Linked DNA regions of Mus musculus: region 2 is reported to be linked to region 1. Evidence: microRNA targets listed by miRTarBase, many of them from high-throughput screens and not tested one by one. Region 1 holds a microRNA gene; the other region holds the end of a gene's coding sequence.
The links. Region 1 holds the annotated microRNA mmu-miR-762 (GGGGCUGGGGCCGGGACAGAGC, at 4,140-4,161, shown strand). A microRNA usually pairs through its seed, bases 2 to 8, with sites in the 3' UTR of a target mRNA and lowers its output. Matches are read on the target gene's strand: a 7mer-m8 pairs with bases 2 to 8, a 7mer-A1 pairs with bases 2 to 7 and ends in A, and an 8mer does both.

Region 1 (7,121 bases):
GTCCCCAGCGTTGAGCTAGGAACAGCTGGGAACCTAGTTTTATCCTTGAGAGGCCTGAAGCCTAAAAGACAGAAATACAGACTCAAAGTCTGTAAATATTGAGAAAACAGCCTGATAAATATTGAGATGAAGGGAAGGAAGCTTAAAGGTCTGTAGAAACTCAAAGGTGTTGATGCTGATGGGAGTCTAGCATCAGGGGAAGACATCTAGGAGGAGATGATAATTACACAAGAGCCAGAAGTGTGGGCCTATGGCTCCACATGGAAGGGATGGCTCAGCTGGAGACAATGCTGCACCTTCCTGAGGGGGGGAGCGGTCTGGGGGCTTCCTCTGGGCCTGGGTTCCTGTGAGTGAACTGGGGACTGCAATCTGCTGGGCCCTGGGCAGGGTAAAGGTCGCTGAAGGGCAAGGTGGGGGTGCAAGGGAGGCGAGGTCCTGGCTCAAGCCCTCACCCCACATGTAATCATGGCGTGACTACAGGCCATCTCAGAGCCTCGTGACCCCATCTGAGGAACAGAGCATGAGCCAAAACTGTCTCCAAAGACCCTCCCCAGCCTCGACAGGGAAATGACATGACACAAAATTACAAAAGGGTCTTTATTTATAAAAAGCCAAAGGGGCCCCTGGAGCAACAGGACAGGAGGCAGGCGGCTTCTCAGGGGTCAGGGGCATTTGGACAGATGCGCTTGAGTGGGGGGGCGCCCTCCGAGTCCTCTGTGTCACCCTGGGCTGCCTCAGGGACAGATGGCACTGGCTCAAAGACAGGGTAAGCTTCGGGGGCCTGAAGAGGAAGGGCGGACAGGTGTGAGCTCCACTCTAACCCGAGAGTACAGCCTCCTAGCCTCTGCCTTTTCCACTCTGCTCCCGTGGGAACCCAGAGTCTGGCCCAGGACCGGGTAACCAGAATGTAGGGTAAGGCACCAAAAACAATAGCAACAGTGTTTGGGGGAAAGAACTTGATTTTTCTGAAAAGCAAATCAAGGTAGTTCTTCTAGGGGAAGGCACTGTCGTAGGCTAAGTTTACAGCTCAGGACGTGTGTCTGTGCAACGCAGGGGACCCAGGCTCTTGCGCACGCTTAGGAAGTGACGTTCCACCAAGCTGCATTCTGAGCCTAGATTTATTTATTTATTTTTTAAGTCCTTAGAGGAGCACCAAGATCATTCCAGGCTCTCGCTGCTCTTCTACCAGCCATGATGCAGCCCTCAGGGTGCTGTCTGTAATACTCTTCACCCAAGAATCCAACCTCCAGCTAAGCCTAGCACCAAGTCTCCCTGCTTCCCCAAAGCCTCCAGTCCCCACAAGGCCAGAGTGCAGACTCTGGCCTCTCTCACCTCAGCTTCTAGCAATTCTGGAACAGGCTCCTCCTTGGTCAGCTTTGGGGGTTCATCAGTACCGCCTGCAGGTGTCCCCCCTGGATCTGTAATACCAAGCAAAGAGAGACTTCCTAAGCAGCTACTCTGTGGTGGGAGAATGGATCAGGGACAAAAGAAGCAGGCAGGCACTGGTCACATATGGCAGCAGCAGAGGGGGATCCCTAGTTGCCAAGGAAGGCAGACTCAGTCAGGTTGGATCTCGTTAGTGGGGAGTGAGCCAGGAGACAACAGAGGTAGAGCAGAACTTAGGCAGACAGAAATAGATGCTTAGCAACCACGGATCCTAAATCATCTGCAGAATGGAAATAGTGTCAGTCAGACCACGAGAGGCTGCTGTGTGTGGGGGTCAAGGGTGGAGCTGCTCAGTAAGTGCCAGGTAGCAAGTTCATTCATTCACTTACTCATTCATTTCTTACATTTCTGTGGTAGTAGAGATGGGGCTCAGGGCCTTAGGCATGTCAGATAAGCACCTACCACTGGACGCTTCCCCTGCCCTATCCGTTTATATTAGCAAAAGTATTTGGAACAATCTCGGTATGGCCCAGGGGCCATGTCATGGTGTTCTTGACAGGGGAACAATTTTGGCGGCAACAGTTTGTCAAGGCCTCAGTGTGAAGTGAAGGAACCAGAGGCTGCGGGGAGCCGAAGAAGGATGTGAGGCAGGAAAATAGCCGTCTCGAACGTGTGCTTTAGGAGAGCTGCTCTGCAGCCACCGGGGACAGGCGTGGAGGCCAGAGCAGGTACAAGGGAGAAACGAGAAGGCAGAGCCAAAGGCACAGGAGTCAGGCACGCCTGGGAAGTGGTACTGACCAGACAAGGGGTGGACTATTTGAAGACAGAGGAGCTGAAGAAGGCTCAGGCCCAAGGTGTTGCTCACTGGCTCTTAAGTCTGGGCATCTTTCTCTGGATGTTGGTCTCCTCGTGTACAGAGAGGACTCATGATAGAATCATTGGTCCCAAAAGATGACAGTGAAGATTAAATGCGAAAACAAACAACAGAACTTCGGAGTGCTCAGAGGAACGACTCACAGACAAGCGGTTCTGTTAGCTGTTAATCTACTGCTATTAATCCCTATGATTATTGGAATTATTTATTCCCTGAACATCTATTACGCATCCCACATGATCAAGATCGGTATGGCTGACAGGAGATGATAACAGAAAAAGACAATAAGCAAGCAAAGAAATAAATCTGCAAAAAAAAAAAAAAAAAGTCAGCTGGTGATATGCTCCCTACAGATCTAAGAAGCCGGAGGATTGAGGCACAGCTGGAGGTGATCTCTGCCAGGGTCAGGGAAGATTCCCTGAGGGAGGCGGGACCGGGTGAGAGGACATAATATAAGAAACAAGGACAGGATGGTGGGTTCAACTTTGATGAGAGGGCTCCTGAGAGCCACAGGGCCCTACCTCTCTCCTGACCCAATTGTGGGGGCTGAGTATCTTCAGTAATCACTTCTGGGGGTCCAGTTGGTGATCCAGGGCGGCTGGGCTGGGGCGTCCCCCCAGGGCTGGGCTCAGCACCCTTTTGCAATGAACCTTCAGAATGGAAACTCTGGTTGCTGTTCTCATCTGATGAAGCAAAAGCCGCGCGTTAATTAGCCAGAGATCCCCAGGGGATTCCTTCAGTCCCCCCCACCCAACTCCATTCCAGAATCTCTACATACCATTGAGATCCAGTAGGATGAGGGGGCCTCCCCCTCTGGGACTGGTGCCCCTACCACGTCTCTCCCGGCCACGGGATCTCTCTGCCCCGCCTCCTGCCCGCCGCCTCTCCTGGGGGTTAGAGAGGTAAGATCAGAGCTAGTTGTCTAGGGAGCTCTTACAAAGCCCTTCAATACGAATAAGGAAACCTAGGCTCAGAGAAGCGAAAGGTGCTGCATCAGGTTGTGTAGATTGAGTTAGGCCTTGAACTTGGAGAAAGTGTGTGTGTGTGTGTGTGTGTGTGTGTGTGTGTGTGTGTAAGTGCGCTCGCGCCCCCTAATAATCGTTACCATCTGCCTGGGCTCCACACTGGAGTCTCCAAGCCGACTGAAGGTGGAGGCCAAGGCTGGGAGGGAAATTGCTTGAGGCTGCACAGATGCAAGGCCTGTTGGGGGTTGGGGCTTGCTCACCTCCTCCTGGGGATCCACCACAGGCACCCACTTGAAGATTCGAAGGGAAGTGTCTCCCACAGTCACCCAGCGCTTCTCCCTGTGGGAGGTCAGGAGACTGGATCAGGGAGGCCCAAGGATGAGCCCCACAGACTGGAGGTCAGGGAGGTGTGCTAGGGTAGGGACAGCTTCGCTAACACTGGCACAGAAGCAGAAAGAGCCCTCAAACCCCAGGGCAAAGCAGAAACGGATATAACTTGGAGCTGCGGTTTTGCAGACACCTGGGGCACTCAGCAGGGCGCCACCAAGGCCTGGCCAGGGACTCTGGCAATGAAGACCCGGGGCCAAGCTTGCTAGAGTGTCAAAAGCTTCAGGGGGCGGGGCATAGATGAGGGCTCCCGCTCAGGGAAAGCACCACTCCGGACCACGCTTTGTAGACCTCTGGGAATTGCCGGGGAAAGGGGGCGCCCTGTCGATTCAGAGCACAGCTGGTGGGCGGGGGCAGCGGGCCAGGAAAGGGCGGACGCGTTTGGAGGAGGTGGCTTGGCTGTATCCCTGGCCCGGGGGCAGCGCTCACCATCTCCGGACCTTCTCGATGGTCGCCATCACCTTCTTGATGTCATCTTTGGCCCGGCTCCGGGTCTCGGCCCGCACGGTCCGGCCGGCCATGCTGGCGGGGCTGGGGCCGGGACAGAGCCCGTGGCGGGGCGGCCTGTGGTCCGGCGATCTCAGGCTGAGCGCCAGGCCCCAGCGCCGCTCTTTCGGCCTGCCGTCCCTCCGGGAGTTGGCCGCGCCCTCCCTCGCTCCCCAACGCCTCCGCGCGTCCCCGCCTGGCTTCCTAAGACCGCGCCCCGCCCCGGCCCGTCCCCGGAGCGGCCCGGGCGGCGCGGGCTGCTAGAGCCCCGGCCTGGAAGCCCGGCCAGCCCCGCCCCGGCCCGGGCCCGCCCCTCGGGGCGCACGGACGCACAGCGCCCTCTGCCAGCCACGGAGAGGGAGAGCTGGGGGGCAGCTGTGCGGCTGGACGCGCGCGGCCCGAGCGAGGCGGTGCGTTCCGGCCACGTGGGCTCAGGGGTGCGCGAGAGGGACTGTCCTGGTGTGCGTCCGCGGCGGGTGGGCGTCCCTGAAATGCTCTGTGCGCGCGTCTGCCCTCTCCAGGCTGTTTGATTCTACGCTGCCCAACTTAATTTGTTCATTCATTCATTGAACAGTCCCATGAACAGTGCCAAGTACGCGCCAGACGCTGCGAGTGGAGAGCGGGCCTCCTCAGCCAGAATGGCGGGAATGAGAAAGACCATGTAGATGGGGTAGCAGAGCAACTTGGCATTCCTTGAATCAGGTTGTGTAATTGGTAGAGATACTTTGGAAAACTGATAGTCTTCCAGTGAAAAACTTATACCAACCCCGTTTTCCAACACTTTCCACTCCCAAGCTATCAACACTCAACAGAAGAAATGTGTGCTTGCCTAGTTTTTTGTCAGCCTGACATAAACTAGGTCAGCTGGGATGAGGGAACCTTGGTGGAGAAAGGGCCTCAATCAAGATGCCCTATGGGTAAGTCTGTGGGGCCATTTTCTTGATGGTAGTTGATGTGGCAGAGCCCACACCACTGAGGGCAGTGCCACCTCTGAACACTCTAAGAAAGCAGGCTGGACAAGCTTTGGGGAGTAAGTCAGCAAGCAGTATTCCTCCAAGGTCTCTGTTTCAGTCCCTGCCTCCAGGTTCCTGCTTTAAGTTCCTTCCCTGACTTCATAACGGACTATCACTGCAAGCTGAACTACATTCTTCCCTCCACGAGGTGCTTTTGGTCATGGTGTTTATTACATCACTAGAAACCTCACTAGGACAAAATGTGGTGTCTGTATGAACACCAAGATATGAATACTGGAAAGTTTGGGACTCTTTTCACAGTAGCAACAACCTGGAAACAACACAAAGAATGGAATGGAAGGGGCTGGCGAGATGGCTTAGTGGGTAAGAGCACTGACTGCTCTTCCAAAGGTCCTGAGTTCAAATCCCAGCAACCACATGGTGGCTCACAATCACCCATAATGAGATCTGACGGCCTCTTTTGTTGTGTCTGAAGACAGCTATAACAATAAATCTTTATAAAAAAAAAAAAAGAATGGAATGGAAAAGCAATTACAACCTATTTCTACCATGGACACGGACAGAACAGCCAGAATCACCAGAGTCCAGCTATGTGCAACAGTGAAGAGAGATCTTGGATGAAAGAAGTCAGATGTGACAGCATGCATTAGAATAATAATTAGAATAATTAGAATTATATACATACATACCTACATATAATTCTATATATAACAGAAAACAAATACATTTTGGGGGGGGGGTCTGGACAGTGATCACTATTGGGACTACCAAGCAAAAGAAGGGGTTTCTGGGACCCGCTTGTCACACTGGTCTTAAGTCTGTCAAGATGTACATTTAATACTTGTGTAATATTTCTTGTGTCTATTATAGTTCAGCTAAAGGTTTACTTAAAATGGATGCTGTCAAGATGTCTCAGTGAATAAGGCATTTGCCACAAAGCCTGATGACCCAAGCTCAAAAATTGGGAGCCCATGTGATAGAAGAGGGAACCCACTCCTGACAGCTCTCAGACCTCCACACCTCTTACACATCATACACAGGCAAAATAAATGAGAGACGTTTTGGTTTTTCCTTTAAAAGAAAAAAGGCCAGATGTGGTGGCTCACACTTTAATCCCAGCACCCAGGAGGCAGAGGCAGACAGATCTCTACATGTTTGAGGTCAGCCTGGTCCAATAATGAGATACATAGTAAGACCCAATCTCAAGAAGAAAGAAAGAAAGCGGGGGCTGGAGACGACGACGTGGCTTCCTGGTTAAAAGCTCTTACTGCTTTCCCAGAGAATAGTAGTTTGGTTCCCAGCACCCATGTCGCACTGCCTGTAAATCCCCTCCAGGGGAGTCCATGCCTTCTTGTCTCCTCCAGCACCCACTCAGACGCACACATGGCCCCGACACACACTCAAATGAAAGGGAAGAAGATGAGAGTGTCTCGCATGATTTTTATTTGAAGCTGCGCTGTCACTAGATAGGACGAGTCTGCTGTGCTATGTGTGTGAGGGGTGTCTGTGACGTTTTGGTGTGACCATGTCCACCATGACTGGCAGCGTTTCCAAACGGTAAGAAGTAAAATCTCTGCTTGTCACACCTGCGTGACCGTGGGCAAGTCATTTGTCTCATTGCCTCCTCTATTATGGAATGAGTTAATGTGTATATACAAGCATTCAGGATAGTGCTTGGCACACATGAATACCCAATACATACTGCTGGTTAGTGTGTGTGTGTGGCCACTGCTGACATTGTGGCCTCACCATTCACCTATGGTGTGCTCTGCCAGTGAACTTTGTTCTGACAGTCTGCTTGTGTTAACCCTCTCACGCAGGCTTTTCCAGTTTCCTTTCTCACAAGCTCCACTCAAGTGGAAACTTCTGGTTTGGAAAGTCAGTTATATCAAATGATAGTTTGCTGGGGCACACAGGTGAAAGGATGTCTTGTTAAGCAGACACATGAAAGAATGTTGTCCTGAAGCAGACACAGGTGAAAGGTCCCATGATGAAGGAGTAGAAATGTGACCCCAGGGTCAGTGGGACACTGAGCATTGGTGTGGTTTG
Region 2 (7,121 bases), not on the chromosome of region 1:
GAGGGTAAGGGAGAGGGGGGAGGGGAGGAGGAGGAGGAATGGCCACATGGAGGGTTACATAACACTAAGGATGTTTGAAAAAGATATAGGGAAGTATGACTATCTAAAATTATGTACACATAAAGAGAGGGAAGAAGGAAGGGTAGAAGGAAGGGAGAGAGGGGAAGAGAGATGAACTGAAATTACACACACTAGGGGGGCAATGCTTCCCTCCCCCTAAAACAATAGACTAATAAAAATCCCAAATGACAGGCATGAACCGCCCCCCCCCTTGAATTGTTAGTCAAGAGAGTCCAAGAGACCTCCTAAAACAGTACAGGCCATTGCCTTTGTCCCTGGTACTTGCCAGAGAAAGAAGGTAACATCTTGAAGACATCACACTTAGGGCACAGGATCTGGTGGAAGTGATCTGGAACTGAGAGGAGAGCTTACTCCAGCAGTTTCCCATGCCAGTATAACCTCTAACTGTATTCTGATGCTTATTCTCACCCTGAGAGATTAGTGTAGCTCTCTCATCCCTCACCAAAGAAGCCTCTATTTACAGCAGATGGGGACCGTTACAGGAAGCCACAAATGGTCAAAGTGCAGAGCTCAACTGAGCATTGAATGCTTGCCCCTGCTGAATGCATTGACAACACAACCTCTACATTGAAGGCTCAGGGAACATCAAAGAAGAGGCAGAAAGACTGTAAAAGCCAGAGGGCCAGGACATGTACTGCAAGACAGTATCTTCCAGAGAAGGAAAAGGCATAAACAGAGTGTGGAGGTGTTGTTCTGGAAGAAATTCTAGGATAGACCTGGGGTGAACATGATCAGGACACACTGTATAAAATTCCCCATAAATAAAAAGTACTAAATGCCTACTGTGTGCCAAACTTCGTTCTTGAGAACACAGAGGTAAACAACAGCTATAATTCTTGCCTTCCGGATGGTTCTAACAGTCTGGTAAAGATAACACCTATTCTTATGGAATCCTTGTTTTTTGTTGTTTTGGTTTTTCGAGACAGGGTTTCTCTGTGTAGCCCTGGCTGTCCTGGAACTCACTCTGTAGATCAGGCTGGCCTCGAACTCAGAAATCCACCTGCTTCCCAAGGGCTGGGATTAAAGGCATGTGCCACCACTGCCCAGGTGTTACTTAAGTGTTTTGTGACAGACACCCAGTGATCTTGAATGCAACATCCCTCTTATTCTCTCTTCCATAGCAGCCTGGCACAGACACTGCTGTTTGTCAGAGGCAAACAGTTATACACAACTTCAGTTTCTTCTCTTTGTTCACACCTTCGTAATATGTGAAGTAATTTAAAGTGACATAAGAAAATTGGTAGGAGTCATAAAAGGTAGGCCACAGAGGTTAATTTTAATTGGTGTGTACTGAGGCTATATCTCCAACCAGTGCTTAAATTGTTCCCACCTAATGTAGAAAGAGAAAACATTATCTTTGCATTATTCCTTCAAGATTGTGGGTTTTCTACATTAACAGTATAGATATTGTAAAACCACTTAAGATTTGTCTGTGTTTTCATATTTACCCAAAAAAGGTTTTAAGTGTGCCTCATCTTTTCCAGAATGTCATAAAATACACTTACACTTAAATTTTTTACACTTATAAAGTTAGGCAAACATAAAACTTCATTTGGGATTTTATTCTTAGAAACAGCCCAGGAAATACATAGTAGGTTAACTCCATTTTAATAATTGCTCTGGTCATAAAAGAACATTAAAAAAAGGATTTCAAATACATTTACGGTGTATCAAAGTGTGACCCTGAAACAGGACTATGGGAAAAGGAAGTTTGAAATTCTATTATCAGTGACTTTCTGTAAGCACAGTGTTGGTGTGTCCTATAAAATTTGACTTTAATAACTGATCATTTCCATTATCTCAAAGATAATTAGCCACGAGTCTGGTCTTTCTGAAACAATATCGAGAAACAATACAATAAAAAAATGTTTAAAATAACATAATATTTAAAACTCTTAATTTATCAGTTTCATATATGCAATTTCCAACATGGGTCAAATAATCAAAACACAGTTAAAATACATTAAAAAAGCAAACAGAGTGGGTTTATGCTGACATTTTAATACTTGAGAAAATATAAGTTAAGTTGGATACAAATACTGCTGACATGAAACAACAACAACAATTAAAAAACAACAGAATATATACAAATCCAAACTGACACAGAGATGGCATGAAACTTGGATGTAAGAATACATCAAAACCTTTATTAGCTCCTTTTAAGGAAGTAACAGATTTTTAAATTAGACAGAAATAAAAAAGACTGCAGAAGAAATTATTTTCTCCAAACTATTCCTTTATCCATTATGAAATCAAGCTGATGTGGTACCCGAAACCTGCAAACCCAGTACTCAGGAGACTGAGGCAGGAGGATTGCTATGAGCTCAAGGCCAGCCTGGGCTACCTAGAGAATGCCAGGCAAGCTGCATCTGCGTGATGAGACTTTGTGGAGATGACAGGCCAAGGGCACTAAAAGTCCATACATTGGGAAGGTGCTCTCTTCAAACACCTCCCCAGAAGCAGAGTGTAAAAAGAATCCCTTCATGGGCTGGTGAGATGGCTCAGTGGGTAAGAGCACCCGACTGCTCTTCCGAAGGTCCAGAGTTCAAATCCCAGCAACCACATGGTGGCTCACAACCATCCGTAACAAGATCTGACTCCCTCTTCTGGTGTGTCTGAAGACAGCTACAGTGTACTTACATAAAATAATAAATAAATCTTAAAAAAAAAAAAAAAAAAAAAATCCCTTCCCGTCCCTGTTCAGCTTTATATAATTACACATTAGCAAAGCATTCCAAAACAAAAACATTCTATTTTTAAGAAACCACACATGTGTCTTCCAGGTACATCAGCATTTTATGCTTAATATTTGGTTTATTAAATATTAAACACAAAAAGACCTTATGTAATTTCACACTAGTAGTAAAAAGAAGTGAGTACAACTGCATTATACTTGTTTTTTAAATTGTGGCAAAGATTTATCAGCTCCTTTAGAAAATACCAAAATACATCAGAAAGAATTTAACTTTTTTAATTTGGGAGGGAAAGATATTTACTAATTGATTGATTGCATGTATGAATGTTTTGCCTGTATGTGTGCAATATGAATGCCTGGTGCCTGTGTTCTGGAGGCCAGAAGCGAGCATCAGATACCCTGAAACAAGAGTTCTGGATGCTTGTGAGCCACCCCGGGAGTGCTGGAAATAGAACTCAGGTTCTCTGCAAGAATACCAAGTGTTCTGAGTTGCTGAGTGTTCTCTCAGTTCCCATGGAACTGAATTACTTATTCACATACAACCTATGCTTAGGAAAGACAAGGTACACACACAAAGAAATTCACCCTATATGACTACAGTTGGAGAAATGCTACTGAACAGCAGACAAAAACAAAAAACCCAATCTTTATCTTAAATAAATAATCCTAAAGTTAATTCGGGAATTTGTGCCAGGTGTCTGAGAATATCTTTATTCTTGATTACCCAGCACAAAAGATAATGTTTATAAAACTGTACAATGTACTGAGTCATAGGTTTAGTCTGCCTATAGTGTAATTTATATTTTTCTTTTAATTCTCAGAAGTTACTGATCTAGAAATAGTTTCGGCGGCCCTCTCTATGAGGGAATAGCCTCTCTAAAGCTACAATCCTTCCTCTCTGAAAGGTGTGTTAGATATTCCTGATTACAGAAATGCCCCTGGCATCTCTTTTGAGTGCTAAGAGGTGCTTTCAAAGATGTACATATTGCCATTAGTGATGCTCAGAACCGGAACGTTTGGCAAGTTTTTGGTGGTTTTCTGTTGTAAGGGATCCTGAGTAGATCTTTGATTTTATGCATACTGCTTGGGTAAAGATCCAGTGGTCTTTACCCAAGGTTCTCTTGCTGTATGTAGGTCTAGAGAATGCCAGCAGCCAGCCACGATGCTCACTCATTCAATGATGGCAGGTCTGGGTCAACTATTTTGTTTGTGTTAGAAACCGTATTTGAAGGGGCCGAGGAGGAAGCTCAGTCGCAATGCTTATCTATCAATGTAAGACACCATAGATCCTCAGTCTCACAAAGAAAAGAAAGGAAGAGGAGGAGGATGGAAAGCAGATTTTAAAGGGAGGGCATCTGAGTTATAAAAGAGGAGTCAAAGTGACAATTTTTTTTGAGGCGTGTCTCTAGTGCATAGCTGAACATGACCTTGAATTTCTGATCCTCCTGCCTCCACTTTCCAAGTAATGGAATTACAAGCGTGTACCTCTTAGACCTGCTTTTCCTTCCTACAACTTAGGATAACTGGTAATACCATAGTTACTTAACACCCTTAAAAGTTCCCAAAGTACATTAATAAACTTTAAATAGTGACAAGCCTGTACATAAATCATTTACAAGTATCCCTGTGGGTGGAAGGTGTTTATGCTGTCATGAAATCATTGGATATTCCTGACGAGAATCTGCCTACAGAACAGAAGGTACACTGTCTGCTGGGCACTGGAAAACTGAGCACAACATGGCCTTACTAATGAAGATGAACATAATCTGGAGACTAATTAAAATCGACAGTGTGCTAGCAAAAGAAATACAAGTCACCTGATGAGATGTGTGCATAGCATCACACAAAGGTTCTCTTAATACCATCTTAATCTTTTGTACGCGTCAATATATGTGGTGTGCATGCATGTATGTGAGTCTGTGTGTATATATGCATTCATAGGTGTGTGTGCGTGTGTGTGTGTGTGTGTGTGTGTGTGTGCATATGTGAACAGGATATATGTATGAGTCTGTACATAGAGAGAACAGACATTGACTTTGGGAATCTTCCTTTTTTACTAAGGTAGGGGTGGTCTCTCAAAAGAGCTGCCTCTCATCCATCGGCTCCTCTCGCCAGCCAGCTTGTCCCAGGAAATCCTGTCTCTTCCTCCTGAGTGCTGGGACTACAGGCAGACCATCAAGCCCACCCAGATTTGTATGTAGGTATGGGGACACAAACTCCAATCCCCATGCCTGTACTAGACATGACTTATCCATTGAGCCACCCCCCATCCCTTTTAATTTTAAGATCATTAAAACCTAATTCTGGTATCAAAACACATTATTTTAATGAAAAAATTTATATGTACATATAGGAAATGTCTATTTAAAATATCTTAGTATGCTAAAAGCTATTAAATGTTTCCCTGTCACACTGCACAGACTTCATCTAAAAATATAAGATACAAAGTGTCTAGATTATATATATATATATTTTTTTTTTTTAAAAAACTTAATTCTTACTAAATTTCAGCTTATGATTCAATAAGTTAACTTACTTGGTTGAGTTTTTTTTTCTTTTTATCAAAAATATTGGTTATAAAATGATACAGTATTAAAAAGCCAAGTTTAATTAAAAAACCAAATAGTCCCTTCTGATACGGAAATATTATAGAGATTTAAATAGTAAGAATTCCATTTAATCCAGAATAATATCAAAGTAAACAGCAGGAGCCATTGGTACTTAGGATTGCTGGACCAGGATTCCTGACCAATAAATTAGGTGCCTATTACAGCACATTTCAAAACCTTGCTGGCTTCTACTGTGTACCCCTGCCTCAGCCTTCGGAGCTGGGATTACAGGCACACACTAGCGCCAAGCAAACCATTGCTTTGTGGCTGAGCACAGTAACTAGTGTTTAAGAGTATCGGAGTTGCTATTAGCAGATAACCTCCACAGTTAACCTGTGTTCAAAAATATACCACCAATAGTTAAAATTCTAGTAGTGTTCTTGGACTTTTACACTTCCCTCAAACAGCAGACATCATTAGCAAGATGATACAGGTCAAAACTCACACATTTGTCCATTGATACACAAAATGCATGGGTCCTTTCCCTGACCCAGCTTCATCCCATCTTGACTTCATGTCTGCAGCTCTCCGGACAGACACAAATAGGAAGATCTTTGGTGATCCTTGTGGCTCGCCATTCATTGATCACCCTGATTTGCTGAAACGATACAAGTGTATTTATTTCCTAAGCTTCTTATTTCCGGTCATAACAAAATAATGGTCATCTTCTTCCTTCTTCCTGGCAGTGGGCATTTTATCTCCGCTGTCTGCCCCCTTACCAGATGAGGGTGGGTCCCTGAAGGAAGTTGGTGGCTTGCTGCTTTTGGGAGGCCCTTTAGCTGAGTACTGGCCCTTCATGGCAGTCTTGGCTGACTTCGAGACAGTTTCTGTCTTGGTAGCAGATTGGGGAACAGTCACAATAGACAGCGGGGTACGGCCAGGAGACTTTGAAGAGCCAGGTCCCGGATTCCGGCAGACACCCTTACTCTGAGGTTGCTTTTTGGCAACTGAAACTGTATTCTTACCTTTCGATCCCTGAGTAGCTTTTGCAGAGGACCCTGAGCACACAGAAGCTGGACTGTTTAAATTCAATGTAGACTGAAGTCTTTGTGCTGAGACTGCTCCTGACCTCGGCGTTCTAGTGGGTGGCTGAGACTGTGTCCCTAGACCTATGGCTCCGGTTTTAGAACTGGGCTTGGTCACTTTGGCAGGTGGCTGGAAAGGAGAAGGGTTAGGCCTTCCGTGCATGGCTCCTTTAGGTAGCTTTGGGGACTTGGATGATAAGTTTATACGTGACTCATCCCTAGAAGAAAGATGATTGTGTTTCAAATGCTTTGGTTCCATTTTTCCAGGAGATTTACTTGGTAAAAGTCTGGACTTAGACAGATCTCTTGAATTCTGGGCTGGAATAGCCTTGGTCTGTGCAGTCTTGGGGAAGGTGACACATTTTCGCGATGACTCTGAGGCACACTGTGCAGTGCTTGGTTTAGACCCTGGATTTGGAGAAGCCAGGGACTGCGATACACTGTTGGAAGGAGCAGTCGTCTTTTTTGCTGCGTCCTTCAAAGATGTCACCTTGGGATGTGGAAATGATGCTGGAGAATCTGGCCGTTTAGCCCGGGTAGACGGGGAAGCCAAATTACCTTTTACTGACGATGCAGGCAGACGTGCACCTGGTAGACGTACCTGTTTCTCCTTGTTCTTCGGAACACTCACTGGTGTGCCAGGTCTTAAATTTTGTTTCTGAAACATATTAACTGCTGACAAAGGGTTCATTTCTGGAGGCTGAGGCGTTC

Region 2: miRTarBase lists Gas2l3 as a target of mmu-miR-762. Seed matches in the 3' UTR shown: 8mer at 2,566-2,573.

What each region holds. Positions count from the first base shown.
Region 1 is chr7:127,704,395-127,711,515 of GRCm38, forward strand. Mir762 (microRNA 762) reads left to right here and starts at 4,093; the gene lies at 4,093-4,168. Bcl7c (B cell CLL/lymphoma 7C) reads right to left here and starts at 4,372. Exons shown (of 6, transcript NM_009746.2): 1 at 4,042-4,372; 2 at 3,486-3,564; 3 at 3,039-3,147; 4 at 2,782-2,943; 5 at 1,333-1,418; 6 at 584-781. The coding sequence starts at 4,133. The coding sequence ends at 656.
Region 2 is chr10:89,407,200-89,414,320 of GRCm38, forward strand. Gas2l3 (growth arrest-specific 2 like 3) reads right to left here. Exons shown (of 11, transcript NM_001033331.2): 11 at 1,624-7,121. The coding sequence ends at 6,004. Among named protein-coding and RNA genes, the nearest start is that of Gas2l3, 33 kb to the right of the region's middle.